4 linked regions of the Lepisosteus oculatus genome follow. The protein of the gene in region 1 interacts with the protein of each later gene in a biochemical or structural test. Links are inferred from orthologs where the notes say so. Each region holds a gene or a part of one and is shown on either strand. Other genes may lie near its edges.

What was found.
Region 2: the proteins of cebpb (region 1) and ddit3 form a complex in vitro, tested with the Homo sapiens proteins (2 studies listed by BioGRID and IntAct, with this or other methods). The link is inferred for Lepisosteus oculatus from reciprocal best matches to the Homo sapiens genes CEBPB and DDIT3.
Region 3: the proteins of cebpb (region 1) and smad4b form a complex in vitro, tested with the Homo sapiens proteins (2 studies listed by BioGRID and IntAct). The link is inferred for Lepisosteus oculatus from reciprocal best matches to the Homo sapiens genes CEBPB and SMAD4.
Region 4: the proteins of cebpb (region 1) and kat2a form a complex in vitro, tested with the Homo sapiens proteins (2 studies listed by BioGRID, with this or other methods). The link is inferred for Lepisosteus oculatus from reciprocal best matches to the Homo sapiens genes CEBPB and KAT2A.

What each region holds. Positions count from the first base shown.
Region 1 is NC_090711.1:12,165,670-12,172,741, reverse strand, and holds cebpb (CCAAT/enhancer-binding protein beta), read left to right. Parts: upstream 1-4,528; 5' UTR 4,529-4,750; coding exon 4,751-5,638; 3' UTR 5,639-6,183; downstream 6,184-7,072. Other genes in the region: peds1 (plasmanylethanolamine desaturase 1), read right to left, coding at 1,078-1,219. UniProt on the Homo sapiens protein: Important transcription factor regulating the expression of genes involved in immune and inflammatory responses. Also plays a significant role in adipogenesis, as well as in the gluconeogenic pathway, liver regeneration, and hematopoiesis.
Region 2 is NC_090696.1:18,053,889-18,061,547, forward strand, and holds the start of ddit3 (DNA damage-inducible transcript 3 protein), read left to right. Parts: upstream 1-4,175; 5' UTR 4,176-4,348; exon of another isoform or gene 4,349-5,646; intron 5,647-6,024; 5' UTR 6,025-6,076; intron 6,077-7,066; 5' UTR 7,067-7,084; coding exon 7,085-7,237; intron 7,238-7,538; coding exon 7,539-7,659. UniProt on the Homo sapiens protein: Multifunctional transcription factor in endoplasmic reticulum (ER) stress response. Plays an essential role in the response to a wide variety of cell stresses and induces cell cycle arrest and apoptosis in response to ER stress.
Region 3 is NC_090698.1:14,987,033-14,995,029, reverse strand, and holds the start of smad4b (mothers against decapentaplegic homolog 4), read left to right. Parts: upstream 1-4,480; 5' UTR 4,481-4,666; intron 4,667-7,997. Other genes in the region: elac1 (zinc phosphodiesterase ELAC protein 1), read left to right, coding at 1-168. UniProt on the Homo sapiens protein: In muscle physiology, plays a central role in the balance between atrophy and hypertrophy. When recruited by MSTN, promotes atrophy response via phosphorylated SMAD2/4.
Region 4 is NC_090723.1:5,256,320-5,263,882, forward strand, and holds the start of kat2a (histone acetyltransferase KAT2A), read left to right. Parts: upstream 1-4,105; 5' UTR 4,106-4,151; coding exon 4,152-4,379; intron 4,380-5,173; coding exon 5,174-5,297; intron 5,298-5,679; coding exon 5,680-5,825; intron 5,826-6,455; coding exon 6,456-6,545; intron 6,546-7,563. Other genes in the region: rab5c (ras-related protein Rab-5C), read left to right, coding at 240-333, 1,346-1,461. UniProt on the Homo sapiens protein: Protein lysine acyltransferase that can act as a acetyltransferase, glutaryltransferase, succinyltransferase or malonyltransferase, depending on the context.

The sequences.
Region 1 (7,072 bases):
TACGTGACTCACTGAAACTTATGAGGACAGAAATATTGGCTTCTGGATCTATTATCTCCTGTTTCCTCCCACAGTCCAAAGACACTCTGATAGGTTAATTGGCTTCAGGGAAAATTGACCCTGGTGTGTACGTGTCTGTGTCTGCATCGTGATGGACTGGCGTCCCCTCCTAGGATGAATCCTGCTTTGCACACAATGGTTGCTGAGATTGGCCCCAGTCCCCCCGTTTTGACCCTGAATCGGATGAAGCAGTTAGAAGCTCCCTCAATTACAAATCGCCATCAATTCAGACTGACTGTCCTCGAGTAACTTCTGAATAAGACCCATAAGGACTGTGCACTCACATAGACATCTATATAATTAAACATTAAAAAGGCAGCTGGTGGCGTTACTTCTTAAGGAAAATATTTAGATCATCCAACACCCTGTATTTTTTAATAGTTGTTGGAATAATGATACCTCACATTTCATTTCCAGCAGTCCTAGTGTCTAACTGGAAAATAAAATCGTTAAACGACTCTACTTATCGAAAGCACTAACGCTATCATCCAGGTGGATGCTGCACATTGGTGGCGTTGGAGGGGATCCCCATTACCTGTAAAGCGCTTTGAGTGGAGTGTCCAGAAAAGCGCTATATACGTGTAAGCAGTTATTATTATTATTATTAACACTGTTATAACAATGCTCTGAATTTGTGCCCCGTCCATAAAGCCATTGTTCACTCACATAACAACAACCGCATCACGTGCGGATACTATATACAGAACCGCGGCTGCCCACCCATGGTTACGACACACCCTCTCTTATTTAACACTGTATCTTAACAATTACCTGGACCTGGTAAACCTCATTATTTTCACTGACTTTCCTGCCGTGATATACATAAACAACTGCAGAGAATCGACAACATATATGTCATTTCCTTACATGCTCAGCTCCGGGTGAGTATACTACTCCACGGAGCCTGTCGGGTAGCAGCTATTCATTCTTGTATAAGTGAATGTGAATACCAGGATTCAATCGCAGGCTGCTCATGTGGGTGTGACGCCCGCTAGCCCGCTGTCACCGGTATCTCACCTGGAGAGTACAGCTCCGCCAGCTCCCGGGCACCTGCATGCTGCGGGCCCCACCGACATTCTCCCCTGCCCGGTCCCCGCGGCTCAGGGTCTTCTTGGATCCCATTACTCTGTAACCCGTCTCCGCTCCCTGCTCTCGCCATGTTCCCCAGCAAATCCAACCCCCGCCCGGCGAGCGAGCCAACTGGGGCCCCGGCATCACGGCCTGGCCACGCCCCGTACCCTGGCATCAGCCAATCATTTCTCACCTCCCTATTCCGCTCGACCAATCGTCGAGGTCCGGACGGGTGACGGAGCGCCCTCGGTCCACCAATGGAAATGGCCCAGCAGAGGTTGTATTTCCTGGCCACACCCAGCCCCAGCCAATCAGAGAAACGGAACATGACACACTTCGGGGGTGGGCTGGCCGGGAGAGGCGTGTGTCTGGCTCGCTGCCTGCGTACGGCCGTCTGTGGACATTGGACACATTCCAGTTGCATGGAAAAAAAAAGTGGTGCGAATTAAAATATAACAGCATGACATCAGATCCTACTTTGCTCATACAGACGGAAGCCCAGAGTGCATTTTGCACACTACGAAACAACCACGGGTTCTCGTTGCAGTCTGGTGTTCATAATCAAAGTGTCATATAAAAACTATCCGCAATATTTCTAAATGACATCTGCTTTTAGGGTTCAGCGGCCAGTTACATTAAGGAAAGTACATTTAAATTTTGCCTTCGTGTTTCCGTTAAGCGTTCCTTAAGTTTAAGGGTGTTAACAAAAAGGCATAACACCTGAAAGTCAGTTTTAAGCACAGCTGCACGAGCAAAGGCATTAATACCTTAGGTGTTTCAAATCTTTATTTTGAAGATTCGGCTGCTCGGAGGTGTGTTACAGTGGTCCCGAAACTGAAAGGGTCGTGACCCACGTGTTTTTTAGACAATCCATATGTTTCTGTTTCCTGTTTCATTTTTAACATGCGTTTTCATTCATGTACCTTTAAATTAATAATCCCTCTGGTTATCCGTTTCGGATAAAATCGCCAAATAAACGCAGTGTGCCATTCATTTTTTGAATCACTTATTACAGTTTAGGAGACATCGCTCCTAAAAATGTGAGAACATCTGTCAGTGAACGAAACTCAACAATGAGTAACCTAAAATTATTATTTTATTATTTTGGTACTGTGCTAGTCCAATGCCAATACTGTGCGCAGAAGAATTCTCTTGTTAGCTAGGAAAAAGCAAAAATAACAGAACCGTTTGAATTAAAAATCACAAATCGGAACTGTTTGTATTAATTTTCTTATTTCGCCGTCCATCCATTTATTTTCTAACCGTTTCTTCCAATTCTGGGTCGCGGGTGAGCTGGAGCCTATCCCGGCAAGCACCAGGTGCAAGGCGGGGTACATTCTGGACGGGACGCCCGTCCATCACAAGGCAGACAGATACTAACACACACACACACCCACCCCAGGGCGAATTTTTACAGAAGCCACTTAACCTACCAGTAAGTCCAGTAAGCATCCGGAAGAGACTCACGCAAACACGGGGCGCACATACAAACTCCGCGCTGATAACACTTCGGGAATTTAACCCCAAGGCCCCAGCGCTGTGAGGCGGTAGTGCTAACCACCGTACGATCCTTATTTCACTAAGCAATGAAGGTGAATTCGACACGAGTACGGTCGGTCATACAGGTGCTGATAAGGTTAAGCGCTGCGCCGAGCTCCTCTGACGTAAGAGGCGCCGGTGTTGGGTGTGCCGACAAGTTAGTTCAGGTTTCAAGAAGTCTCCCAGTCTGCACTTTACCTCGAACCTGTCAAACCGCTAGCAAGTCATTAGCTGAACTCCAAAGTCACCACATCCAGTCGTGTTGTAAATCCCATCTCCCTGCAAACTCTGACCAGTTTGAAGTCACGATTACCACCAGTCCCCGAACGAACTAACTGAATAAAAAAGCAAAATAAAAATACGATAAAAGAGGTATTCTAATGAAACGTATAATAATATAACGATTTCCTTCAATCGTGGATTTATATTTGTTTTGGAATCCATTTGTGAATCTCATGTACTATGGGACAGCTATATAATAATCATCGTCATCATCATCTTTGTGTTTTTTTAATTTTTATAACAATTCCGTGTCAGGCCACAAGGGGGCGATATCATCTTTTTTTATCCGTCCTGCGTATCGCTCGAATGCTTCGGGCCATCATACATTTCTTTCCAGTCCTCATTTTTTTTTTAGTTTTGCTTTACGCGTCTGCCCTGTGCTTGAGTTGACTTGAGTGTCCTCTGCAGTTGCAAAGGGCTGCAACTCCCTTGCACCCTGGCTCAATGACACGCCAAGCAAGTTTCACATCCTTTTCAAATACGCACAAATCATTCTGGTTTAGTGATCGCTGTCGGTGCTCAAACATGCACAGGAAGAGAATTCAGTCTTTTTCATAAGAAACTGGGGAGCTGAGTTTGGAACAAGTAGTCAATAGAAGACATGAAACGGACTGTGGCAGTAGTCATTTTGAATTTTTTAAAATGTCTGAAAGGTTTCTTTTTGTAAAAAAAAATGCAGATACGAGACCTTTTTTTCCCTTGAGCGCACCAAAAGGCCTCCCCCGTTGTTGTAAAACAAGTTTACAGAACGACCTTTCACTCCCTAACATTGTCGCCTGGCATTGGCGATCGACGCGAGTAATGTGCTTGTAACTAGAGCTAGGAGCTGTGGAGCAATGTCCAAGCTGTGGTTGGGCTTTTGGTTTGTCAGCTTTGAAAGAAAAAAAAATGCAACAAGAACGTTTGGCCATTACAATTGCGTATTTATGTTTTTATTAGTATTTTATGTTTCGCCAGCGTGTGTTGCGCAACAGGACGGCGGATCCCCCGACTTTGACACTACAGAAGACCGACCCCCGCTTTTTGGCAGGGACCGTAGTTTGGGAGGGAGGATTGAGCAGTGAAAGACATCCATGAGAGAAATTCGGCACTTAGGATGGTTATCGCTCGCCGTTAAACAACAATATCTTTGTGTCAATGAGCAATTAAATAAGAATAATCAATGGTACAGGACATTACTGTAAAACACGCAGTGTTGTTTGATCATTTGAACGCAACGATTTCTTATGTCACAACATGGTGTATTAAAAGCCCCCTAGTCTCCGCACAGAAAAGGGTACAGCTCACAAGTCAATGTTTTTTTCTCCAAATACACAACATTAAGAGAAGCGCCGGTTGCCTTTTTTTATTTCACAGCACTGCGTTGCTCTTTTGCAGGTCCATTACGAGGGCAAAAAAGTTCAGAGAAGCACTGGGGAAAAAAAAAACTAGTTTGATCTTGAAACGAGCTCTCGGACTACAGCGTCGAGCTGATTTGCTGTTCAACCGGTACAGCCCGTCACGCCGCCACCCTGCCCTGAGGTCTGACGCCGCCCTCTTTCCAGGTTCGCTATATATACGCTGTTGCAAGCGCAAGCTGTCGAACTGGACGCCGAGCCGAGCGTGTGGGCGCTGCCAAAGACTGCCTCCCAGGACACACCGATTGAGCAATCGCCTCGGACGTTATTAGTATTATTATTTGTAGGCAGACCGTGCACCCCAGTTCGCCCGCTTTTCCCCCTCTGCCAGCAAAGCAAGTCCGCCAGGGAGCTCCGTCCCTGATCCCGATGGTCCCGCAAACCGGCGGGTGTTAAGATCGATGGCAGTGGCGGGCTTTTACGACGGGGATTACCTTGCGTTCCGAGGTGTTGACAGCAGCAGCAGCAACAACAACCACCACAGCAGCAGCACAGGCTGCAAGCAGTCCATCGGCGGTTCGATGACGGAGCTGGGCATCGCCGAGCACGAGAAAGCCATCGACTTCAGCATCTACCTGGACCCCGCCTTGCCCTTCCAGCAGCAGCAGCAGCAGATCCCGGTCGAAACCCTGGATCAGCACCACGGCGGGGACATCTTCTCCACTTTTCTTGCCGAAGACAGCAAGAACAAGCGTGCCGCCACCTTGCAGAACTACAGAAACTACTTGTCATTGAGCGCTCGGGGTGCCAATCAGGGCGACAGCCCGAGACCGTCGAACTTGCTGGGCTTCCCCGAGTTACTGGAGACGCGAGTGGACACCGTGTTTAGCCCGCAGCTGCTGGGCGGCTATATCAAGCAGGAGCTAAAGGAAGATTTAAGAATGGACAGGGGCTCTCCCAGTTACGAGATGAGGTCTTATCTACAGTACCAGTCGGCTCCCAGCGGCAGCATCGGGAACCTCTCCACCGCCTCCTCCTCCTGCTCCAGCCCGCCGGGCACCCCCGCCCCGCCAGGTGCTGGGGGGTCGCCGTCCCACGGGAAGATGTCCTCGGGCAGCAAGGGCAAGAAGAGGCTGGAGAAGGACAGTGAGGAGTACCGGCAGCGGCGGGAGAGGAACAACATCGCGGTGCGGAAGAGCAGGGACAAAGCCAAGCAGCGCAACATGGAGACCCAGCACAAAGTACTGGAGCTGGCGGCGGAGAACGAGCGCTTGCAGAAGCGAGTGGAGCACCTGTCCCGGGAGCTGGCCACCCTGAGGAACTTGTTGTCGGCGACCGGACAGTGCTAGCGCCGTTGCGGGACTCGGTACGCGCGGCCGCCGCTTCAACTGCGGGGGTACTTTTTATATTGCCAGCTGGAAAATACTGGCCCCCCTTTTTCTCTGGGAAGTATTATTTGTAACTCAGATGTTTCTCTTTCCCTAAAAAAGGATCAAATTGTTTACCAATTTACAAGGGAACCGTATTTCTGAAAGCGTGTGGGTGTTGTTTGCTTGGGAACATGGAATATGCGACTGATTGTTGATAAATTACCACTTGTGATACCATGTCTGTTTGTTTTTTTCAAAAATTGTTTACTGTATTTTTATACGAGTTTTAACGTTTAATATACTTCTGTGTTATTTAAGAAATGTTGATGAAAACACGAAGTGTACGCTCTTTTTTTTAGCAACGGTTGTCAAGGGAGTTGGATTGCGCAAATGATGCAATCCGATGTAACAGTATTGGCAATGCAATGAAGTAATCTGTTAAAGATGGAAAGGTATATACAAATTATAATGAAATGTATAAATACTATTTTATTGAATTAAAAATATTTTTACTTTGGTGCAAACTTTGTTTTCGTGTCTCTGTTGCTTATAGCGCAAGTTGCGTGAATGGCTCAGAAGAGGTCTTGTAAGCCGGTGCATTCACATGATATCTGAATGGGGTTCACCGCTATTTTCCTTCACTGAAAAGGCACCTGTGAAGCTGTGGTAACTCGTGGCTCTGAAGATACTGAGCTGCCGAACGCATTCATCCTTTAATACAACCCAGAGCTGGTTAAGAGATTATCGTAGGAGCTACATCGAGCTCAGCACAAGAAAACTGAGTAAAGGCGTTAAGTTTTGCGACGATAGTGTGATCTGGGAATTCTTGACAGTGGTGATATCGTCTGCAATTTCGCAGTCTAAACAGTATACAGTCTAAAGCTGCAGGACAACAAGATCCAAAAGGAGCCTATGTCCATTACTGTATCAAAGCAATACACTCGAGCCTAAAGCATTAGATCAATATATTTTCAGTGTTTAATGTAGTTATGTAAGAAAATTGACTATATTTCATAGGGTAAGATGAAAATTACCTTTACTGTGACCTAGGTTACATAAAATATTTGGAAATGGTTTAGTTTCATTCTGTTTTTGTAATTCTCAGACACTCATGTGTTGGTGGTAATATTTTTTTCCCCATGCACAAGTTCTAATTCAGTATCGCAATTTATAGCACATTCCCAAATGAGCACCACAGGAATACTGTAACACCTGAACACTTCCGGCCCCTTTTTCCGAGATCTGATGTGTCAATTTAGGAAGTTTTAGCCTGCATGTCAAAAATCTGTAATCATGTATGAAAAAATCTGCACAAGACAACTACTGTTCAAGATAGACTTGCTCTGTAAAAATCTCTGCTGGGTTTTCACCATCTATCATTGTGCCATTGATCTCATATCTGATGTGGGCTAC
Region 2 (7,659 bases), on another chromosome or scaffold:
GGATAATTTCTTATGCCCGTTTTACGTTTTTCTTCGGGTTCGTGTTTTGCAGTCATGTTACGAGAGGACAAGATATTAGAGTACAATCCAGACTTGTCGCAAGTAATCCGACGTCCGAGCTAACCAACATTAAATATACGGAATGTATCGAGGCTCCTAAGCCAACGATAAATCGCAAAAAAAAGGGAAATGTCGAAACGTTGTCGCCTGCTTCCTGTAACTGTTAAGAAGCATACGTTTAAAGTGCATTTTTCTGTTGCTTTTTTAATGCCGATTTATACAGGAAGGGAATTAAGCCGTGACGGTAAGATAGTCAAGAGACCTCATCTCCACCGCGGCGTGGAAGCTAGCGTAGGCACCGCGATAGCTGAGATGACACTTCTGCTGGTGCTCAGCCGGACCGCGTCTGGGCCGTAACACGTTTATCGACTGGGACAGAAAGGATTTTACCTTAAGCGTGCATTGGCGTGCAAAACTCTTCCCCCGACTTTTTGTAAAAATACACAAATAACGCTGCTCGGTTTAGGGGAGAGCATTATTTCCTGTGTCCACTAAGGTGTTGTTTCTAAAAAAATAAAAATCGTATCATATCATCTGGCGTCTTAATCGTTCCTGTCCCGGATGCCAATCCAAACAACACCCCGGAGCGCTGAAGACACAACAGACCCGGACCCGCGGAGGGATGGACACAAGTTTTTTGACCTCTTCCGTTTGGGTGAAGCCACAAAACATGTGGCGGACATACTTTCTCTCCCGGCCAGTGGACGAGAGGCGCAGGTGTGTACCTGGGGGGCAGACCCGGGCCGGACACACACACGAAGCGTAGCCAGCTAGCGGGTCGCTCCGCTGTTCCTAACCTGTTCCCAGATTTTTTTGCAGTTTTGCCTCCTTTAAAAACAGACGTGTTTCTTTCACTGTCAGAATTAAAGCACCGCAGCCCGCGGTGCCGAAAGGAGAGCAGCGGGAAAAGTGAAAATTTCCAGGCGATTCCCCTCTTACCAGTGTGTTAAACCCGTACGCGTCTCTGAAGGGCGTGCGCGTTGACGCGACCAAAACAGTTGACATCTCTATCCCTTGTCAGAGACTGGGCTCTGTGGTTTTCTACCGTGAATCGTACGCACCCAGTTCCCGGCGGATACTTAGGTCGAATTTCACTTTAGCAGAGAAAACCCTCTTTTAAAGAATCCAGGTTACTGCCTTTATCAAGTCTTGCGCTGTTGTCCGCAAACACTAGTTTGTCCTATACTGCTAAACCGCTGTACCTATAAATTAGAGCTCTGACGTTGCGCAATTTCTGACAAGAGTTTTTCATTGGCGCAATTATAACAACCCGAACAATAAAGCTTGCAATTCTATGGGGGCATATTGGAAACAAACTGAAGGAGTGGGAAAAGGGACTCTTGTCACCGGAGATCATGTACAGATGTTGTTATTATTCGGCGACAGCGTCGCTCTGCAGAGGGACTCGGGTATGTGCCTGCTTTTCGCTGCGCTCACAGCTCGTGCTGTTGCTAGGGCCCCCCTTAGCCACGGCTTGCTGGTTGGTCTGCGCTCGTGCGGCGTTGAGGCGCGCTTTATCCAATTCAGGGTCGCGGGGGAGCCGGAGCCTATCCCGGCAAGCAAAGGGCGTAAGGTGGGGGTACACCCTGTACAGGACACCAGCCTATCGCAGAACAGACACACACACACTGGGGCCAGTTTCCCCAGGAGCCAATTATCCTACTAGCGTGTCTTTGAACTGTGGGAGGAAACTGGAACACCTGGGAGAAACCTACAAAGAACATACAAACTCCACGTAAACAGACAGACAGCACCCCAAGGTCACAGCACTGCGAGGCAGCCATGATAACCACTGCGCCACCGTGCCGCCCCTGCGCTTTATCCAGGGGGGATACGAGCAAAGAAATTTGACAGCTAAGTGGTATTTTTGAATACCTGGTCCACGTTTTTATTTGAATGAAAGATAACACATTGAGCAACGCGTATGTTTCATTTTGTCGAAGCATTCGGGAAGATTATAATAACAGCCGCATTAAACGCCTCGTTGTGCACTTAGCCCTAACTTGTTACCTGTTACACAATACTCATGTTCGGCTTCCTGTCTCATTCCGAGACAGATCGGGGGCTTTCGTAATGTTCCGTTTTTAAATTCATAACTTGTAAACAGTATTCTGACTGATAAAATGTACATCTATTTTCAATCTATTGCGATGCACAGTGTCACGCATTTGCTTGGTTGTTTTAAATAATTCTTAAACTATTTACTCCTTTTCTGATGCTGAATTAGTTACGAAGAGCAGCGATTCGAACGCCGATTTAAGGCCACCGAGAAGCTGTTGGGTCACTCCTCTGTTCCCTGTGCTACAACATCTCCTTTCATCACTGCAGAAAGTGAAGGAGTAAAGTTCGGGCTTACAGCTCCCACACCCACTCAGACATCTGGGGGGCGGGGGCGAGATCACCGCAGCAGCCCCGAGGAGAACAAGACCCAGATGTTAGCCAACATCTGGAGAGGCCGTCTTAAGGGGGCGGGGGCGACATGGCTCTCCCTCCAGAAGGATTGAAAGTTATTAATATCCCGACTGCAGCCTTCCAATAGAAACAATCAGATCATCTAAAAACCAAGTTCCACACCACACGGAATACAGTACTCAAATCCACTCCCCTTTTAGAGTCACATTCTTGAAAGCGTGACTTCTGCATGAAACGTTTCGTGCGAACAAACCAGTTAGCCGCACTTCACATTCCTACAGCGAAGTGTATGTACAGACTGATGATGGGAGTAAGCTGCCATTGCATAAAAATAAGCAGACAGAAGTCATCCTCTAACGAATAACTTTTAATAGCCCACGGTACCGTTCTGCTGGTATTCTTGCATTCAGATTTGTGCTTTTTTTTAACGCTGCTTAATTAATCGTTGTAAATGAACTTCCCCGTGTGTTGCCGTCTGGCGTTACGAGAAGAAAAAAAAAACGACAGATGACACCAGAAATAAAATTTTAAGTCAGAATGAGCCGATAACTCAATTTTTTTTTGCGATCGTGTCTGCGGTCCTGCCCGAAGCTGCCATTTTCCCGGAACTTGGAGGGAGAGCTTCTCGAGCTACAGGCGGAAATGACTTTGCAAAAGTACTGGTTTCAAAAGTAAAGGTTAGCTGATTCATGGCCACGGGGGACAGTGATAGGCTATTTTTCAACTTTTTTTTTAACTATAAATACAAGCAATACAATAATAAACACAAAGCGTTATATTTTCTACCGGGTTACACTAAAAAACAAAATATAAATAATAGTACAGTAAAATAGCTTTTGCTCAGATTAGCGTTAATAAAAGTCAGTATATATTCAGGATACTTATCTGAAAACTTCAGAGTGCTATTGAAGTTCTGAGTTATGACCAACTTTTAAGCGCGCATTTAAGAAAGCCTGAAATTCATTATATACAACTCTTAAGAAACACTGCGATTGAGTAATGAACGAATTTTGTTGGATCAGGATTTTTTTCGGCGTGCGGGTATGTCTGAGAGCTAGTTATCATGGCGACTACTACGACATAAAATTCACAGGCAGGGAATGAGGCTGCTTTCGGAAGACCACTGTTAGTAAGGAAGAAATACTCCCGGTTTTAAAACTGCGAGGTTTCACGGTGCTGAGAGGGACTCTAAAATCAGCACTTTTCTGCTGGAGACCCCCCGTCCCCGAAAATGTTCTCCCCAAATCCTCATTCCCACTTGAAAAAAATGACGAAAACAAAAGTTCTCATTACCAGCCTACGAGTAAGTTACACGCAATGTGGTCTTAAAAGTTTTAAACGCCGTTCAGAGAACGGCACCAAATCAAAGTTTAACAGGTCGTCTGCCTGCTTCTCCTTGGAAACCGGTTGCCAACGATTGCATCATTTCACATGACTCCCACATGCCCCGGCGTTCGTCCTAGGCGTCTTCTGACTGCATCACAACTTCTTCGGCACACAAACTATACAGCCCGCGACAGCTAGCAAGGTTAACTAGGCCCGCCCCCTTCTTTGCCACACATCTTGGAGAGCTGAGCATCTTCGCCCTCTCATTGGATATCACTAAGCGAAAGTGCCCTCGAGCGCTGCGTGGAATGGACAGCAGACCTGTCAATCACAGCTTGACGCTAAGCAGTCAGACTAGACTGTCACCTCCCCTGTTGTCTCAAGTGGTTTGGTTGCTCCAAGTATATAAGCATCGCCGGGAGTTTCCGAAATTCACATTCAGTGACATTACTGAACAATGGTTAACATGAGCTATCATCACTCCACACCAGAAAATAAAAATTCTCCGAACCACAGACAGTCAAGAAAGCGAAATAATAAAAGAAAAAGGGTGAGTGTTTTTTTTTGTCTATTCTGAATTCCAAGAATTCCAAGAGCTTTTTCGCTCTTTTCTGGACACGCTGTGCTAACTTTAACTTATTCCCTAGCGGTGAGGGTTGAGGTTGTGGAAAAAATACAAGCAGGGACATGTTTTGGCAGAACTCCCATGTCCGTTTTAGGAAAACAGTTGTTATTCCCGTTTTAACATTACGAGGTTTTCCTTTTTGTGTTGTGTTTTTTTTTTAATGACAATGTTCTTTCGAATGTGGCGACTTATTGGTTTTTAAGATGTTCGATCTTGTCTTGAATGTGAGCGTTAAAAAAAAGTTATTCTATTTTTAGTTACCTTTTTTTCACGTCTATACCTGAATTACAACCTAGGAGCCAATTAATATTGAAATAATGTCAGTGTAATTCAAGCTTAATTTAATAAAACCTCACACTGTTTCAGTGTTTCGCTAACCAAGACGTCCGTATATCGAATGACTGGGACTGTCAGTTTATATATATATATAAGTTTAGGAAATCGATTAGGCTTCAAATGTTTTAATTCATGTGTGTTCATTCCGTACTGGTTTAGTACTACAAGTGAATTTGACTGTTAATTATGCTTCCCAGGAAGCGTGATCAAGAGCCTCAGACTGCCTTTGTGTGTCTGATTCCATTACGTAATACAACCACCCGCACTCGATGAACAAACAAGCCGAGGAAGAAAATCGTCCTATTGAGACAAGGTTTCATTAAAAAAAAAACATGCATACTAAACCATGTTTCTCCGATGCTAGCTGCGATAGTTTCTACTGCTTCCACTGCCTAGCGTCCAATATATTTTCTAACACCAGGAGTAGAACGCCGAGTTTACTGTTTCGGTGTGTACAGAACAATAATTACATAAATGCTAAACAGAGAGGAATTATTGTTGTGGTCGCTCTCCTCTGAACTGGTAACGGATTTGCCTCCGTGAGTTTGGATAGTGGAAACTAACTTGAGCCATGAGGGGAACAGTGTTTTTCTGTTCTTATCCGCGCTGAGTAAAGGTAATCAAGAAATAGCACCATGGAGACAAATAGAGCGCCATTTAATGACAAAGTGTATAGATTTTTAAGAAACGTTTCAACTGCGCTGGTTCACCTGTGTGTCGTTAACGAGCTCCTTCCACCTGTGCCCCGTGCTCGAGCGCCTCCTCGCCGCGGGGTTAAGCGAGGGATCAGCGCTGTAACCCAGACGACCGCACGGGGGCGCTCGCGAGCGACGCCGATGTTTGCATGGAAACCAGCGTGACCTAAATTTCACAGTGGATTTAGCCCGGTAGGAAATAAACAAGTCCCTTGTCCAGCCATGTTTATTTATTAAAAAAAAACAACATTTTAAAACGTCCCACCTGGAGTGAATAGTTATAAACGGCAACAATTTGAAGTGTCTGAAAATTTAATGTGACATAAAATATTAAATGTAACTTTGATGCAGATCGTTTTCTTGGTTATCATCTCAGCACATCACAGAATGCCTAAGCATGGGCGTGTTCCAATCAGTCCATTTTTATCTCGGATGCTGTCTGATATGTGTGACAGAAGCTGTGTAAAATGTGTGTCAGCCTGCCCAGCTGTAGGTTTTGATTCTGCTGTAGGGGGTATTCAGATTCTTCTGAGTACAAGATATTAACAAAAGATATTTGTTTTTCCCTAGATCGTCTCTGACACACCAACACCGCCGAATCATCGCCAGACTTGATTAAAAGGTGAATGGTGCTGTTGTTTTTTTAGGATAAGAAGCAAAGAGTTATGTTCTAGTACTTGTGAAGACTGGTGACAGTTACTTACCTTTGATAAACCCGTATAATTTTTTTTTTTTCCCCACTTACTGAGCTATATAAGGGAGTAAGAGATGAAGGTGTGCTATGAGTTTTGAAGCCGCTTGCAGTATCAAACTTTTAAAATTATAAACATTATACATTATAAATGGGGCATGTTTTCAAAGTGAATGTAAGCCAGCAGGCTGCGCTGTTTCTCAGTCTCAATGCCACCCCCATAAGTGCACCGCAGCTTGTCATATTATTACCTTATAACTTACACTTACACTTTTATATAGAGTTTTTCAGGACACTCCAGTCAAAGTGCTATACGGGTAATGGGAACTCGACTCCACCACCAGCAGTGTGCAGCCCCAACTGCACCAGTACACTCGCCACACACTAGCTATCGGTGGAGAGGAGAACAGAGTTGTACTATATTAAAACATCTCTGTTCGGACCGGAATTCGCAGACAAGAGGAGGTCATTCATCAGTTCTGTCCCGTTTGCTCATTGGTACTTGATTGATCCCAGGATCTCATCCAGCTGTTTCTTGAAAGAAGCCAGGCTATCGGCTTCAACAACATGGATGGTTGGCTTGTTTCACACTCCCACCACCCTTTGTGTAGAGAACTTCCTCCTGTTCTCAGTTTTCAGTGCTCTTCCATGTGTTTTCCCCCACTTATGTTCTTTAGTTCGTGTCGCTGTTCATTCTGAAGAAGTCCGGTGGGCTGACTCTCGTTTGTGACCAAGATTCAAAATTGCCTTCAGACTGAAGAGACTCGGGTCCTGCAGCCTGTCGGTGCGGGACACTCTCTTCAGACTGAAGAGACTTGGGTCCTGCAGCCTGTCGGTGCGGGACACTCTTAAGTCCTGGTATGTGCCGAGTTTCTCCTGTGTGGACAGATTGAGTGAGCTGTTTTTGTCGTCTGGGTGCAGAGCGCAGCGCGGTGCGACATGACAGCAGAGTCGATGACGTTCTCTCCATACCCCCCTGGCGTGGGGCCGCTGTGCGGGGCGGAGCTGGAGGCGTGGTACGAGGACCTGCAGGACATCCTTTTCTCCGACACGGGGGACCTGAAGAGCGCTCAGCCGGACCACTGCCATGAGGTCAGTGTCTCGCGGTGGCTGGGGAGGGAGGAGGACTTGGGAGCTGGATGTGTAATTCTTTATTCATGCCAGTTTCTTCAGACCTAGAGCTTGGCTTTCCTAAATACCTGCCATTGCAGGGCTTGGAGCCAGGTGCATATTTGAGTGCTAAATGTCTGTAATGGAGCATCAGCAGGAAGAAAAACTTGGGGGGGGCGGGGACAGAGCTGTTTGTGTTGCTGTACTGGTTTTGCCAAATGCTTTTATACCCAAAAGCGAGTTGATCTCCCTGAATGACGCTGCTCTCGTTCCCCTGCCGCAGAAGGAGCAGGAGTTCCTGGACATGCTGGAGACCTGCTCCCTCGCCTGGCTGACAGACGGCCAGCTGTGGGCCCAGGGGGAGGAGCAGCTGTGTGCAGCGGAGCCCCCCCTGCCAGCCGGCG
Region 3 (7,997 bases), on another chromosome or scaffold:
CTCTACCACTTCAGCCAGAGGTACAAACCCCAGAGCCTCCTCAAGGAAAAGGAAGACGACAACGTCCTGGAGCTCAAGAGGCAGGCCGAAGCAGCTCTGAACGGCAGGGAAGTTATCCTTGCCGAGGACTTCTTAACGATACCTATTCCCAGCAAAAGATGCAATTAGTTTTTTTATAAATAGAATTGTTTTTATCTGCTGAAGTGTCATGGCTATTTTTGTATATGATGACATTGACTTGAGGTGTAAAACCTTATGACCCCCTAATTTTAAATGGCTTTGGTTGGAATCGTTTTTATTCAAGTTTTCTTATAGATAATTGTCAGGCATTTTAGAAAATGCATGCCAGAGAAAATGGTTTGATGCCATAAAGTGACTGAGGTCCTGGTGTCCTGCTCCTTCTTTGGAGACAACATGACAGTACAATCACCACTGTCCACTGGAAAGCAGGCTTGCTCAGTGCTCGGTATGTCGGCATGGCTCATCAGACCCTGTCCTACAGATGCTAGAGTGGGAGCACCATGCGATTCCGCTGAATTATTTTGAGGGTGGTTATTTTAGTATGGTGGGATGGGGCACTTATTTTGTATTTAAAAGTGGATCTATTTCATGCAATAAAAGTTTAATTGATCGTACTCTAAACCTGAATCTGATATCAGTGGAGGTTAAACTGGGTCTTATCTGTTCTAATAAGTGCTACTTTTCTTGTTCCTTCAGTGCTCGTGTTTATCAGGTCCAATGCTGCTGCTCCTTTTCTCTCTTTATGATGAAATACCAAGCTCACCTTGGTAATGCAAAGGGTCTTCAAGACGATATCTAGCTTGAAGCTGACAGTTAAGGTCTTCCCCCATTAATGTTAAATGGAAGTGTAACTGCAAAGCGATGGTGTTTCGCGGTGAAAAGCTGAAATGAATGTGGGTGAACCAATGTGGTGTGTGTGGGCCTGCTTTGAAACCTTTTTTACTTTAAAAATAAAAACGGTCTAGCTTAAACTGTTTGAAATGGATTTTGCCAGTGGGTGCCCTTGTGAGAACAAGGCTCCTTTTAGTGTGGAATGCCATGTAGCCTTCACCCACATTAGTGACTCACGGTGTTGTTCACCGGCAGCAGAAACAACCAAGACAATATGAGCGTCTGAGATGGGAGAGCCTGAGGCAAAATGAGAGCTTCTTCCAGAGACACAGCAAGAAGATGTGGTGGATTAGTATAATTATATGCTTTGAAACAGTCAGCCATAAACTGAGTATATAAAGCATCCTAATCCCCCTCTGCTGCCCTAGTGGCCTCTTAGCCTAGATACACTGTTCAAACTGTGAGCCAAGCTCTGATTCAGTTAAAAGAATGAGTACAAATGTCTTATAATAATAATAATAATAATAAACTTTATTTTATATTTTATATTTTAAACTTCTAAAATATCTCAGGCACTTCTCTCAACAAGCAACCAAGTAACGACACAATCTAAATTTTTGTGTTCGAAAATCAATGGCTCACAAATCTGTAAAGGAAAAGAACTTGAAATGCATGACCCAAATACTCTTAAGACTTTTTGTAACAGCGCTATTGGTAGCTTTAGTGAGAATTTCAGTGGGAACTGAACTTAGCTCAAAAACAAAGAAGCACTCCATTCCTCTTGTGGGAGGCATTCATGCAGTATTTCCTTGACATGAGTTTTCTCAAAGCCTCATGATTTGGCCTATAAATATGAGAATTATGGAAATACTCCTTCAGAATGTGTAAAAAAACATTGCACATGAATTCTTTCCATAACATGCATGTACATGATAAGAGATACATTTGATATCTGTTTTTCTCACCTGGTGTAAAGATATGAGGAGTTACCGTCTGTATGAAATTATGTTAGTTTTTCATTTTGTCCTAAGACATGAACTGTAAAACCAAGTTAATTTATTTTTCTCTATCTTTAGTAAATGCATCAGTTTTCTTTAAATGCTTTAATCACTGTTTTCCTCTTTGTTCAGTTATTACTGTAAAAAAATACTACTGCCAAGTCAGCATTTTTGTCTTATTATTTTATGAGATCCTTTAGAATCAAAATATTTGCAATACTACAGTGGTATGGCCATGTAATGAGATGAGATCAAGACCTAATAAAAGACGAAGTAGAAGAGGGTATTGAGGGAAAGAGGCCACGAGGAAGACCAAGAATAAGCTGGCTTGACTCAGTGAAAGAAGATAACGGTAAGGCGGATATTGATGTAGATGCCTGGAGAGACAGGATACGATGGAGGAGGCTAGTGGGCGAGGCAATGGACTGGCTTGGGTTCGAGATGCCACCTCAGTAAAGTGAGTAGAATCATTTTTATGCTATTACACTCTGATAGTCAGGAAACCCTTGTCTTCTGACTATATGGCAACAGAAGGCAGAATATCAAACATTATGTGGCTTTAGTGAAAAGCAGCATTGTGGAAGAAAGGAACAAGTAATAGGCTTATTCCATGCTGAAAAGAGAAGAAAGAAAACGCCTTGGGTGTGAGAGAAGAAAATCTAATTGTGGAAGAAATCCTTATTTTCTGCACTGTGCAGTAACTTGCAAAATCTCTAGATTGCCAGTCACTAAAGGTTAGACTTTTAGGCAAAAAAAAACTGGAAAATGTGCACCCTTTCTTTGTAGTTCAGCTCCATTTTTAGATGGTCCAAACAAGGTACTGTTTCACTTACTCAACATAAGTACACAAAGCAATTTTGGACCTTGACACATCAACATTCTTTTATCATATATCAAATATATACCTATATATTTCATTTTATATCATCTCATCTCTGATACAATTGCCAAACAGAGGTTCACAACTGGTTTGCAAACATTGTACCAGGAGGATATGCAAAAAGACGGAGATCCTACTCTGGACAGCCTAAACTGCAAGCTAAACTTTTCATGGTGTCTTTTTGCAGCAGTGAAAAAAAAACTCATGGCTGGTACTGAGCATGAAGTTTTAGGATTCAATATAGGGTGGGTGATTACATTATTAAATTGACACATTACTGACTTGCTTTTGATAATATGGGTTAAGTAGTCAACAGAATCTTACAGTGAAAAGATCCACATTTAAATCAAAGAATGTTAAAAGTGAATGATATGTTAGCACATTTAGAATACTGTGTTCGATTTTGCAGTAATCGTGTCAGAAAAAGGTAACTGCTTCTTGGAAAGACTTCATAGAGTGATGACTAGGATCGTTCCTGACTGAAAGCATGTCTCTCTCTGACAGATCAAAGTAGCAGAGTCTCTTCAGTCTTGATAAGAAGAGGCGGGATTGACCCAAGTATTTGAGGTCTTGAAGTGTACTGATAAAGTCACTTCCTGTGGTTTACTTCAAGCTCAGCAGTGGCACATGGAGCATGAATAGGCATTAACTGTAAGTCAAGCTTAAGAATAAACACCGCTGGACTTTTAATGACATTTACAGTATATCTCACTGCTGCTGAAGGGGCCAAACTGCCAACTAGATCCTAGTCCCTAGGATCTTCCAAGAAAAGGCTGCTTTCAGTTTCATTAAACAGAAAAAAACATTGAAACAAAAAAATACAGAAAACATGAAGGGGTAATGACTTGCATTAAAAAACTAGAGGGCGAGCTTTAATGAAGTGAATGCCAGTGCATTTGTCTGTTAAAGACTTCAAGAAACATTCTTAAAATGGTCTAATTTAGAAGATAATTTGGTTGGTGGTTTCTTTGACTACTCAGATTCGAACAAAAATCTCCAGGCCCTGGGAAGAACCTGGAATTCAGCAAGTCCTTGAGAGCAATGAGACCCCAAATCCGAGGCACTGAATCCCTTGATATTTCATTGCCCACTATATATGACTTACTGTCAGGTTAGTCAACATCAGAGGTCATGGTAGTGTTGGGTGAGAAAGGTGCACGCAGACGACAGATTTGAGGAACCAATTTAAGAAATGTTTTGATGAAAACAAAATGATGGCATGGCTAAATACAGGTGCTCAAGACTGCATGTAGTGCTACAATATAAATAACAGAAACAATTGACAGTCCTGCACTGTAACTAGAAGAATTTATCACGCAACCTAAGGCCTAGTGTTAAAATTTGTGTAGTTATAAAATTACATTCTCTCATCTGATTAAATCTAAAAGATTCACATTTATTTAATAAAAGCGGAATGTCAGCACTCTATGCAAGAATGCTGCTTATCATGCAGGATCTACTTCTGACAATTATCCTTACCTGCTGTTTTTATTTTTAGATATTTTACATCACGAAGGTATGTGAAACATCGCGAAGTAAGAAGCACGCATAACACGCAGTGCCCACTCATGTTGTGTCTAAGTGTGTTTTTGCACATTGCCCATAGCTCGCTCCAAGAAAGGGAGCGACTGTTACGCGCCATGGCCCGGGTATCGGCGTGAAGTCACATCTCCTTTCTGCTGGGTCCTGAGTGGGCGCCGATGGTGCCAAACAGCGCTGGAACTGCGCACACACGCCAGGCCGCTCCCCGCCGCCCAGTGCGCAGGCGCCGTGCGCCATGTTGATACAGCAGCACCAGCGGCGGAGGCGGTCGGATGGAGGCTCCGTGTGAGAGGGGTGGATTTGTTTTTTTATTTTGTTGCTCGCCGTCCCGTTCAAAGGCGCACGACGATTCCTAAACCCCCGGTGATACCGGATCCCGCTTCCCCTTGGAAAGGTGAGGGACTGGGCCGGAGCGGCCCGCAGACCGGCGGGGAAGAGGAGTATGGGGAGGGGTGGTGGAAGAAAGGAGAGCAGGGCGCTCCGCCGGCGGGGAAAGTAAAAGTTTGTGTTTTTGTTCTCGGCACTGGCGGGCCGGGGCGAGAGGGAGAAGGGTTTGGAGGCACAACAGCGTCCGTGGAGGGGCCGCCGTGTGCCGGCTGCGTTGCGCGGCCCTCGCTGCTGTGAGCCGAGGCGGCTCGGGGGTGTTTTCGGGGTAGCGGGGTCGGGCTGTGCCGAGGCGCTGCTTCTGCCCGCTGGGGCGGCGGGGTGTCGCACCGAATAGCGTCCGGCTGCACACGGCCCCCTGCGGGAAACGGGACTCGCTGTCAGGGTGTTGGAGAGCTGGGGTTGAGCTCCGGGAGTGTGTTGTTTTTTTGGGGGGATTGAAGAGGGTGGCGTCTTGATCTGTTTGACTCAACGCACCTCTCCGTCGGTAAGATCGCTCCACACACTTGCGCTTTTCTCTGCAGCTGCGCTCCTGAAAAGCGGGCGTCCCGGCTTCGGATGTGTGCACGGTGTCGAGGAGATACCCCGCTCGCGTTTGCCGAGTTTAGGGGTTGTATTTTCCCTGCCAGCCGGTTTAAATGGGGGAAGTAATATTGTGCATTCTCGTAGCTGCTGTTTCTCTGGGTACAGCTTTTCCCACGCACGGAGCGCTGTGGTCCGCGTTCACTCGTGTGCTGTCTTGACGTGCGGGATCAGACCGTTTCCAAGACTTCGAGGTCCAGAAGCTTGTTCCTGTACTGCTGTCGGTTAAAAATCGATCATCTCTTATTATTTAATTAACAGTTGAATTGCGCGTTCGGTGCAGTTTAGGGAAAGGTACCCAGTTAATGCAGGATCTTCCCGAGAGTGACATCTTTCCAGACGTACCTCTGTTGTGCTTCCAAATCGTGTAGTGGACTACCGGGCGGCGGTCAAGTTTGACGTGCTGTACAATTCAGGATGTTTCATAGCGCTACGCGTGTCCCAGAAAAACCTAGAGCGAATGACTGGCCCTGCTGGGGTCGTCCAACACTTGGACTCCGAGTCCCAGCTCATTTTGTGTTAACCCTTGGGTGACAAACGAGGTGTCGTAGCCTTGGTTCAAATCATTTGTAAGAGACACCAAGACATTTCAGCCCGTTTCCACACTCTCCCCCAAGTGGCTTTGAAGCCTGTCTAGTGACCTGAAGGGTTGCTTCACTGAGCTCATTTACTTAAAGAGGACAAATTCAGCACACTTTCCAAGCCTCAAGTGGGACGAAGTGGGGAGCTTTGGAGAGGACTCCTTGGGGCAGGCAAGTCCTGCTTGCTTCTCTGTGCCCTGCTGTTAGGAATCAACGTTATGACTCCTGTTTTCTAGCATTACGAGCCCTTTCACGTTATACAAGCCAGTGACTTATGCATATAAGCCAGTAGGCGCTGAATATTTCGTGCCACTTCGTTTGCCTTCATTTAACATTGCCTGCATTTAACACTCTTCAGCTGTAATGGTGAAGTGCATCTTTTTTTAAGTAGTAGTAGTTAATTCTTGTCAATTTTCTGTAATTTACTGGCCAACACTTTACATCATAAAGGAAGTGTTAAAATGTCACCCCGTGTTCCCATGATGTTTTTGTTTTTTAGTAACTTGCTGTCCGGTGGCTTTTGTAGGACGTACATCCTTCTGTTTTTGTTAAACCTTCAGTATTTCTCCTCAGAGCAGGATTTGTTGAACGTCTGCAGTCCCTGCCTGTGCATATCTGCCCACACTGCTTGTTTATAAGCCTTACTGGAAGGTCTTGGGTAGAAATTGTGGGATGGGTGTGTAAATCTTTTTTCAAGGGCAGATTTGGGAAGAATCTGCGTGCTGGAAACTGGAGTTTTGATCTTTGTGCATATGTGAATGGGGCAGGGTCTTCGTGGCATGATTTGTCAACATCGGGTGAACTCAGTCTTCTGGTTACTACCTGGAATTTCTGTTTTTATTTTCATTGATTTAATTGTTGTGTATAATGTTTTTTTTTGTTATGGTTTTACAGTTTTTAGATCTTATTTTGTACTTGCTATCAAGGCATGGTTTCAGCATTTTCCTTAGTCATCGCTGTGGTTACATTAATTCTATTCCTGATCCTTGGTAATGAATGAGAACTTTTTAGAGTAGAATTTTTTCTCTGAGTTTTGTGGTAAAGAATATTGTGCTGCAGACGTGTTAACCAATGTGACTGATGGAAAATGTACAGTCCTTCTGTTTTTCATGGTCAAAAATGTAATTATGTAGTTCAATTAAATAGGACAACACAGTGATACTTGGAGTCTATTGAAATAGAGTACAAGGCAAAGTAACAATTCTAGCAGATGAACAGTAAGATGTAGAAAAAAAAACTGCTCCTGGTTTATGAAACATTCTTTTTGGTTTTTTGTAGCACTGCTCATGTGCATGTGCTGAGCATAGGAACTCTGACTTGACTCTCCGTGTGTCAGAGTTCTGTTTGGGTCTTCTAGTGAAGAGGAGTATCTTACTTTTGCTTCAGTGTAACTGTGTTTTTTATTTTGTCAAACTGTGGCATTAAGCAATATCCTTCTGCCACGTGTTTCTGTTTACCAGCTCCTCTGTGTGTGAACGAGTGAGAATGAGGCGGCCTGTGCTAAGCACAGTGATTCATCCTTGACTCAGTGACTTCCTCTGTGTATTAATACCCAGTTGGGTTGTTCACCTCCAGTAGTAGAGGGCATTAATAATTGTCGATTCTCCGTCAGTGCAGCTTATCACTGTGACCTCAAGCACAAGGCGAGTAATTTGTGAATTACTCAGATCCATTTATTTTTTGCTTTTATCCAGAGTGACGTAGATATATGCACCATGTATCACAGCTGGGATTTTTCTGGAACAGTAAGTGTGAAGTACTGAAGTACCTTGATCTGGGGGTACACCAGTAGTATCTCACCTGGGGTTTGAAAGCACAGCCTTGCAGTTACGAGTCCAGAGCCCTACCAGTTGAGCCACACTGCTGCTCTTGTTTGAGCTGGGCCATGCGTCTGGGTTCTTGTCACAGCAGTCTGCTGGTGGTGCAGCTCGGATCTGGACTCTGGTAGCCCGGTCTCGAAAGTCATGGTGTGGATCAGTCCTTGGAGTATTTTGTGTTCAGGCCCCCAACTTGACATTTTATTAATCTTTGAAAATGGTACTTTACCATAGATACTTTATATTTGTGTTTTATATGGATTCCGGCATTGCTAGTTGATAAACCTAATAATTCTAGTGTCCCATGCAGTGTAAGTTATTATACACTGCTCTGTACTGCTGATATCTGCATAAGCACCAT
Region 4 (7,563 bases), on another chromosome or scaffold:
TAAACACAATCCTCCCGGAAAAGGTCCTCGAGCTACACAACACTGTACGCCGTTTTCTCTGTCGCCATCAGTCGACGCGTCCACTTTACAGCAGACCTTGCGTTCGTGTGCGGAATACCGCTTTGACGATGTCTGGGGTGGTCAGTGGGCTGAAACACGCCAGCGGGGGGGGGGGGGGGCGACTCGGGTACAAGCTCCGTAGACTCATCGCCACAAACGTGTCTCGTCGGTCTTTCCAGGAAGCGCAAGCTTACGCCGACGACAACAGCCTGCTGTTCATGGAGACATCCGCCAAGACGGCGATGAACGTGAATGAAATCTTCATGGCCATAGGTACAGTATCTGCCCCTTGGTGGGGGGGGTCACCCAGCCTGGACTATTGTCTTGCAAAATGCAAAAATCAGTCTCATTCAAGTGAACCCCCACCATCACACTTGTGAAAATTCGCCCTGCCCACATTACCACGATGCTCATGGTACAAATAGCAGCTTTGTGCATAAGTGTCTGTCAGGTCCTACGTGTACACTTTCAAGCTAGAGAAATGTATTCATTTCTATGTCACCTTAAGTAAAGAATGTATATTTGGACTTCCCTGGCTGGGGTACCCCCTTTTTCCAAGCAAAGACCTGCAGGGGGTTCCCTCTTTTCAAGCACAGCTGTTTGTTTTCAAAGTAGGTCCGTCAGTGGAGAAGTACTGATGACAGCTGGTGCATGTTACTCTAAATAATATTATTATTAATATTAATTGCTTACACCTATATAGCACTTTTCTGGACACTCCACTCAAAGCGCTTTACAAGTAATGGGGATCCCCTCCACCACCACCAATGTGCAGCATCCACTTGGATGATGCGACGGCAGCCATAGTGCGCCAGAACGCTCCCCACACACCAGCTAAATTTGGACTCTTGCGCCCAAATTAATATTGGGGGTGGGGGGAGAGACGTTGATGGTGTCTGGATCGCCATCCAGGAATCCCGATCCTAATCAGTATCTGCCGAATTGTCATTCCAGCTCAACTCTCGGTGAGTGCTTCGCTGGTTTAAATATATGTTGGTTCTCTTGGCTCCTAAAAGTGAAAATTTAATTAAGGTTACTGGAACGTAACCTCAGTGTAGGAGATGAGAAATCTAGTTCTAAATCAGAAAATGACTTGAACGGAGGGCTCCATTAATGAAGAGCAAGACTGAAAATGGGCAGGCCTCTGCAGTCGGGTGGGCCCAGGTTCGAGAGGGCTCATGCTCCCTGGATGCCAGTTTGAAAACCTGTGCTATGGGTTACTGAGGGTCGCGACCCCTCCAGCAAAGCAGCGCCGCCTGAGCTTGCCGTGTCTGTTATCTTGTAGCCAAGAAGCTGCCGAAGAACGAGCCTCAGAGCGCAACGGGCACAGCGGGCAGGACCAGAGGGGTGGACCTGCAGGAAAGCAGCCCTCAGAACCGGAGTCAGTGCTGCAGTAATTGACCCGCCGAGAGGCAGCGGACCGAACAGAACCACCCGACGACGTCGCGCAGATCCACCCGAGCCCATTCTTCCCGATCGCACTTAACGGAGCGTGCAGCTTTGTGGGTTTTTTCTCCTCCCTCCCCACCTTGGTTTTGCTGCTTTGATTTTTTTTTTCTTCTTTTAAATCATAAGCTGGAGAGAATCCATTCCATCAGCCTCTCTCTCATCTTTCTGTACAAATACTAATTCAGTGGTGTCTTAAGTCACTTTTTAAAAACAAATGTATTATACTGGCTTCTGCTCTTACCTTCTTCTCTGGTGGTGGGTGCATGTAGCGAATTCTTTTTTTTTTATTTTTGCCCCTCTCCCACCTTCCACCCTCGTCTTTTGCCCCTCCCCAGCACAAAGGCACGGGAGGGTGGGAGAAATTGGGGGAGTTGCATCTCTTTCCAAATTAACCATCTTGTAGATTATTATTGATATTATTACTATTCTGGCACAAGCAAAACAGGATATAATGAATAGGATAGGCCTAACATGGTTTTTGATCATTTATGTGTAAGAATCACAACTATATGCATAGTGCATTAACAGTCATTATTATACCAGTAAGTCATTTTTAGCATTAATGTAACAATTTTTCAAATCTGTTGAACTTATAAAAATGGAAAAAAAAGCCAGATTTTTTTTCTGACCAAAATCACACTTACGAGTATTGGAGATTATTTTGCTGTATTTGTATTGTATATTTTTTTCTTCAATATGTAACCAATCAGTACTTAATGGTCAATACAGTACCTTCCCAATATATAAATGTATTTTTTGTCATCTTTATTTTTGTGTTGGAAAGCATGAGTTTTCTTTTTTTAACTGGTCCTGTTTTTTTTTTTTAATTGGGGTTTCTGTTGTAACATGCACTGGTGCCGTCGATCAGGTAGAGACTTTGCAGATAACATCTTGTCTTTGTTTTTGGAGTCCTTTGGAATCGTGCTGTGTTGTCACTAAATGACATTAATGACTGGCACAACAGAACAAAGCTGTCCTGTCAGCTGGAGTGTGCTGTCACTGTGTGGCTCAGCTCATGTGTGGAGGAGTCCTGTTTTCAAGTATGGGGAGGCTCATTCTGTAATTCTACCAATAAACATGGAGGGGGACGTGTCTAAGCAGTGTTGTCCACTGAATTTCACTTGCACGCACGGATTAAAAACAATGACCAACAAAGAGTCAATACCACAGGAGTCTGACGCTGTTCACTCGCACATTTGAGAGATGTCATTGTTAAATTTGCCCTTAAACCAAAGCAAATAGGACAATTTAACAATTACACCTAATTACAGTGAAACTGTGCAAAACTTTTTTTCTTGAGTGTCAATTGATTAGATGGTCTCTGGTCCTGCTGTCATTCAAGTAAACAGTCTGCTTCATTGATCAGAGAAACTGCAAATTAATGATGGATCATTGATTAACATCCTATAAATTGTTTCACATAGGCACAAGGTCATTTTCTATAGATTACTATAGTCTATGCTGTGTATAGTATAAACCTCAGATTAATTGAAGCGTTATTGAAAAAATGAGACATGAAATAGTTTCCCAATCCCGGACCAACTTTAAAATCTTGTCCCAGTTTTAGGTGTCCAAGGATTTTGGTCCACCTCAGTCTCCCCATTTAATGTAACTTGCTGGATGCCTCAGAATCGAACTTTGGGTTTTTACTGCAGGCAAAATGTTTAGAGGTGGTTCAGAAGTCACAGAATTGAAGTATATGGATATCACCTGCTGTGATAGTTTTTGGTAGTTGTGGTAGCTGTGGTATCCTGGTCTGGTGAGACCACAATGCCTTTTGGTTTTTGTACCAAGCTGATTAATTGCAAGCAAAATTAGTTTATTTACATGTGCATTTTATTTAATTTTTAGGTCTTATAAAGTTGTGTGTTTGGGTAGCTCTGTGCCAATCCCAAGGTTTGAGAATTCCTCTCATTCAGGCGTCAGTGGAAATGCAGCTAATCCGATTTAGGGAAAATAAGTCACTTCCGGAGTATTAAATACGTTAACAAGTTCCTTAGCGCTGCCTGGGCTTTGTACTGTGGATGAGACGCGATACAAATGTACGACAGGCGTTGTTTCTACGCGTGAGAGCTGATTTTGGCTCCATTGTGTCTGAATACACATTTCGCTCGCCAGACCTTTTTTTTTTTACCCTGGTGACATGTTAGATGCTACACCTTTCTAAATAACACAGCGAATTTTAATTCTCCTTCTACCAGCTTTTTTTTAATTACTTTTCACCTGAATCCCACCTACTCCAAAAAGAATATACAACAAAAGCCGCGTCAGTAACAACAGAGTATCGCTGCCTAGTGGTTAGGAGGATTAGCACATCCAGCTGGCACAAATAACGTTAAATTAAACATGCATGATAATGACCAAATATACATTGGTCATTGTCATGCGTGTTGTTCATTCAAGTCCTCCGGCGTAAGCCATATCCCACAATGAGAGCTCGTGACCTTATTTATTAAAAAGACCCTGTATCTAAAGCAATTTCGTAATTTAAAACAATCCATCTAGGCAAATGTAAAAACAAACGGCAATTCCCAGAACGCCTTTCGGTGACGCATGCGCAGTTTGGAGCCAAGCCGCCATCAACAAAACTTTATTGTTCACAAACACAACGGCAGGAGAGACAATCGACTGCGGCTATTGCTATGGCGGACCCGGCGGCGCAGGCCTCCGCGCAACCCCGGCTGCAGCAGCAGGCTCAGCCCGGCGGTGCGGGAGCGTCGAACACGAGTTCGGGCTCCGGATCCGGCAACAGCGACCCAGCCCGGCCGGGTCTGAGTCAACAGCAGCGGGCCAGCCAGAAGAAAGCGCAGGTCCGAGCTTTCCCGCGGGCGAAGAAGCTGGAGAAACTCGGGGTCTTCTCCGCCTGCAAGGTAAGTCGGCGGCGGACGATGGGATGAATGCACGGTGTGGGGGGGCAGGGGCGGGAGACCCGGGCCGTGTGCCCGCTGGGCGGGCTGTCCCTCCGGCCCCTGCAAGCGACCTGTAGGTGTGTGTGTCGAGGGCCGTGAAGTGATCAATGAATGGGATCGCTCTTCAGCTGATCCAGAGCGGGGCGTTCAGCGTCGCACCTACTGGCCCGCTTCCCAGCACACAGCGTGCAATGCAAACTGGTCCAGATTACGTTTCTGTGGAGTTTTGGCATTAAAACGTCCCTGTCATGCTTAACTACCTTCGTTTATATTTGCCCGGTGTCGTCTTAACCCCGGATAACAAGTGAAGCAGCGATGATATCCGGCTATAATGTTGTTACTGTGATTCCAGTCCAAATCGTCTTTTTAAATCCCAGGCTCATTGAAATCACCAGAACTCGCTACAGTTCAGAGCAGTTTTTTTGGTCTGAAACTGAACAATTGGCCGGCAGAGAATAATTATACATTTAATTATTAGTATTTTATTAATTGACGTTTTCAAGCTGACAGTAGGCAGAACATTAAATTGCAAATCGCAAATTAGACGCAGTCAACCTACTGAAGTTTGGTTCCGCAGTAACATTAAATCAGTATCGATCAGTACATTTTTTGTGCATTGAGTGCAATGATTTCTATTTTTATAGGACCGCTTGGTCGCGCCGTGGTAATGGAAGATGAACGGAGACCGATTTTCGCGCTGCGGAGAAACGCTGGAGATATGATCTCGTATCTGACTGTTTGTCTTGTCTTTGAAGGCCAATGACTCCTGTAAATGCAATGGCTGGAAAAACCCTAACCCTCCCACTGCCCAGCGGATGGATCTCCAGCAGCAGGCAGCCTGTCTCAGTGATCCCTGCCGCAGCTGTGGGCACGCTTTAGGTATCGCCTCTCCGCCGCCCTCTCCTTCAGATCCGCTGCATGCTGCCGGCACTGGCCCGACTTTGATACCTTAGTGTTTTCTGAATATGGCATACTGATTCTCTTAACAAGGTATCTTCACATACTCTGCTAGATCTTTGAGTGTTGGTTTCCTGTGTGCATAATAAGGCATTGGCTGTAAGATTAGGACTTTAAATGAAAGAATAAAGAAAATGAGATCACTGGCTGCACTGGTTAACATCTAAATTGTTTTGGTTACATATGAATGTCTCAGGGAGGAAATCGCCAACTCGTGAAATAACGCGTAGTGTTTCGCCCACTAAGGGGTGAAAACCTCGTATGGTAACGCCAGAATCCTGCTCTTCTTCCCTGCTTGGCACAGCGGATCACGTTTCCCACCTGGAGAACGTCTCCGAGGACGAGATCAACCGCCTTCTGGGCATGGTGGTGGACGTGGAGAACCTCTTCATGTCCGTGCACAAGGAGGAGGACACGGACACCAAGCAGGTGTACTTTTACCTCTTCAAGGTACGAGCCCTGCTGCTCTCTCGTCTTCTAGCGCCCCCTGGGGTCCAGGCCTCCAGCCTGGGAGCGGAGCAGGTATTGTAGCCCTGTAGTTGAACCGGCCCGGCCATCTGGACATAGGCCATTTCATTTCACCCCCTTCCGTAGGCCTTGAGCTGCCGGTGACTCAAGGAGACCTCTGAAACGATACAGGTAATCGGAGCTAGGTGGCACAGCCCGCGCAGCAGCCACTAGCCCTGGGGAGGAGCAGTGGCACTGTGGCTAAGGATCTGCCCTTGTGGCTGGAAGGTTGCCGGTCCAAATCCCGCGGCCGGCAGAGGAATCCTACTCCACTGGGCCCCTGAGCAAGGCCCTTAACCCCAACTGCTCCAGGGGCCTGCGTGGCGCTGGCTCTGCGCTCTGAGCCCAAGCTTCTCTCCCTGTCTGTGTCTCATGGAGAGCAAGCTGGGGTCTGCGAAAAGACAAATTCCTAATGCAAGAAATTGCACATGGCCAATTAAGTGATCTGGTCTTATCTTGATTTGGAAATGTGTTCCTTGTGGCCGTGTCTTCCTTTCGGAGATGTCCAGGGCGAGCTGCGAGGCTCTTCTCAATGGCCACTCATGTGCTTGCGTTCTCCCCATGTCTTCCCAGCTGCTCAGGAAATGCATCCTGCAGATGAGCCGGCCAGTGGTCGAGGGCTCTCTGGGCTGCCCTCCCTTCGAGAAGCCCAACATAGAGCAGGTGAGGTCTGTAGCTAGCGCCCGGCGAGCCGAGCGCTTCAGAGATTGCGGTGGTTCGAAACAGTGTTGTTGTATAATGTGCTCCGCATTATACCGTCATCCCTCGCTTTTCGTGGGTTCATACTTCACGGTTTCGTTTATTCGTGGGTCAAAAAGAAAAAAAGAATTTGGGGAGCTACCGGGCAGGCGACGGCGTTTCCGCAGGCCCGCGTGCCTGGTGTGTTAGTCTGCTTCTGAGCCTTTCGCGTCCGTTAACTGTTCTCTGACACGGACCCTGGGGAGCTGGAAGAGCCTCTGGAGGAGGACGAAGATGAGTTCACCGAGGAGGAGCTTGACGAGCCTCTCAAGAGCGCCGGTGAAGAGGAAGAGCAAGACCGGCAGTGTCCCCCCGAGCCTTTTGCAGCTCTATTCCAGGACCTCGGAAGACTGGAGGACAGAATACTGCACTCTGACCCTTCAGTGGATAGGCGCGTTAACGTTGTTCGGCACCTGGAACAGGTCTTCGAGCCGTACCACGTGAAGTTCAAGGGGTTGAAGGAAAGCAAGAGGCAGCTCCCCATCGCAGTGTTTCTGCAAAGAAAAGAAACTCCAGCCAGCGAAAGTGAGCCGGTCGCAAAATGACCTTAAAAGTGAGTGAAAAACAAAATGCTTTTCATTTTCATTATTTTGTGGAATGACTTAAAGGAATTTAATAACAAAGAAACCTGAAAAAACGCTTAAAAATGCAAATAAAGTCGTTCATTGGGCATAAAAGTTAGTTATTCATTTGTTACGGAGACTTTCATGCCTTTCCTTTGTCTTTTCCCTCCCTTTCCATATGCCAAAAAATGTGAATGTCAAGCAATATGCCCTAGAATGTCCTCTTAATTACCCTGGGTTAGAAAAAGAATACTAAAATGTTTTTTTGGGGACCAGGGTTGTTTTGGAGAGGGTGGTCAATTATTTGCGGATTTTCACTTTTCGCGGGAGGTCTTGGAACCTTTCACCCGGGAAAAGTGAGGGATGACTGTATAGTGTAA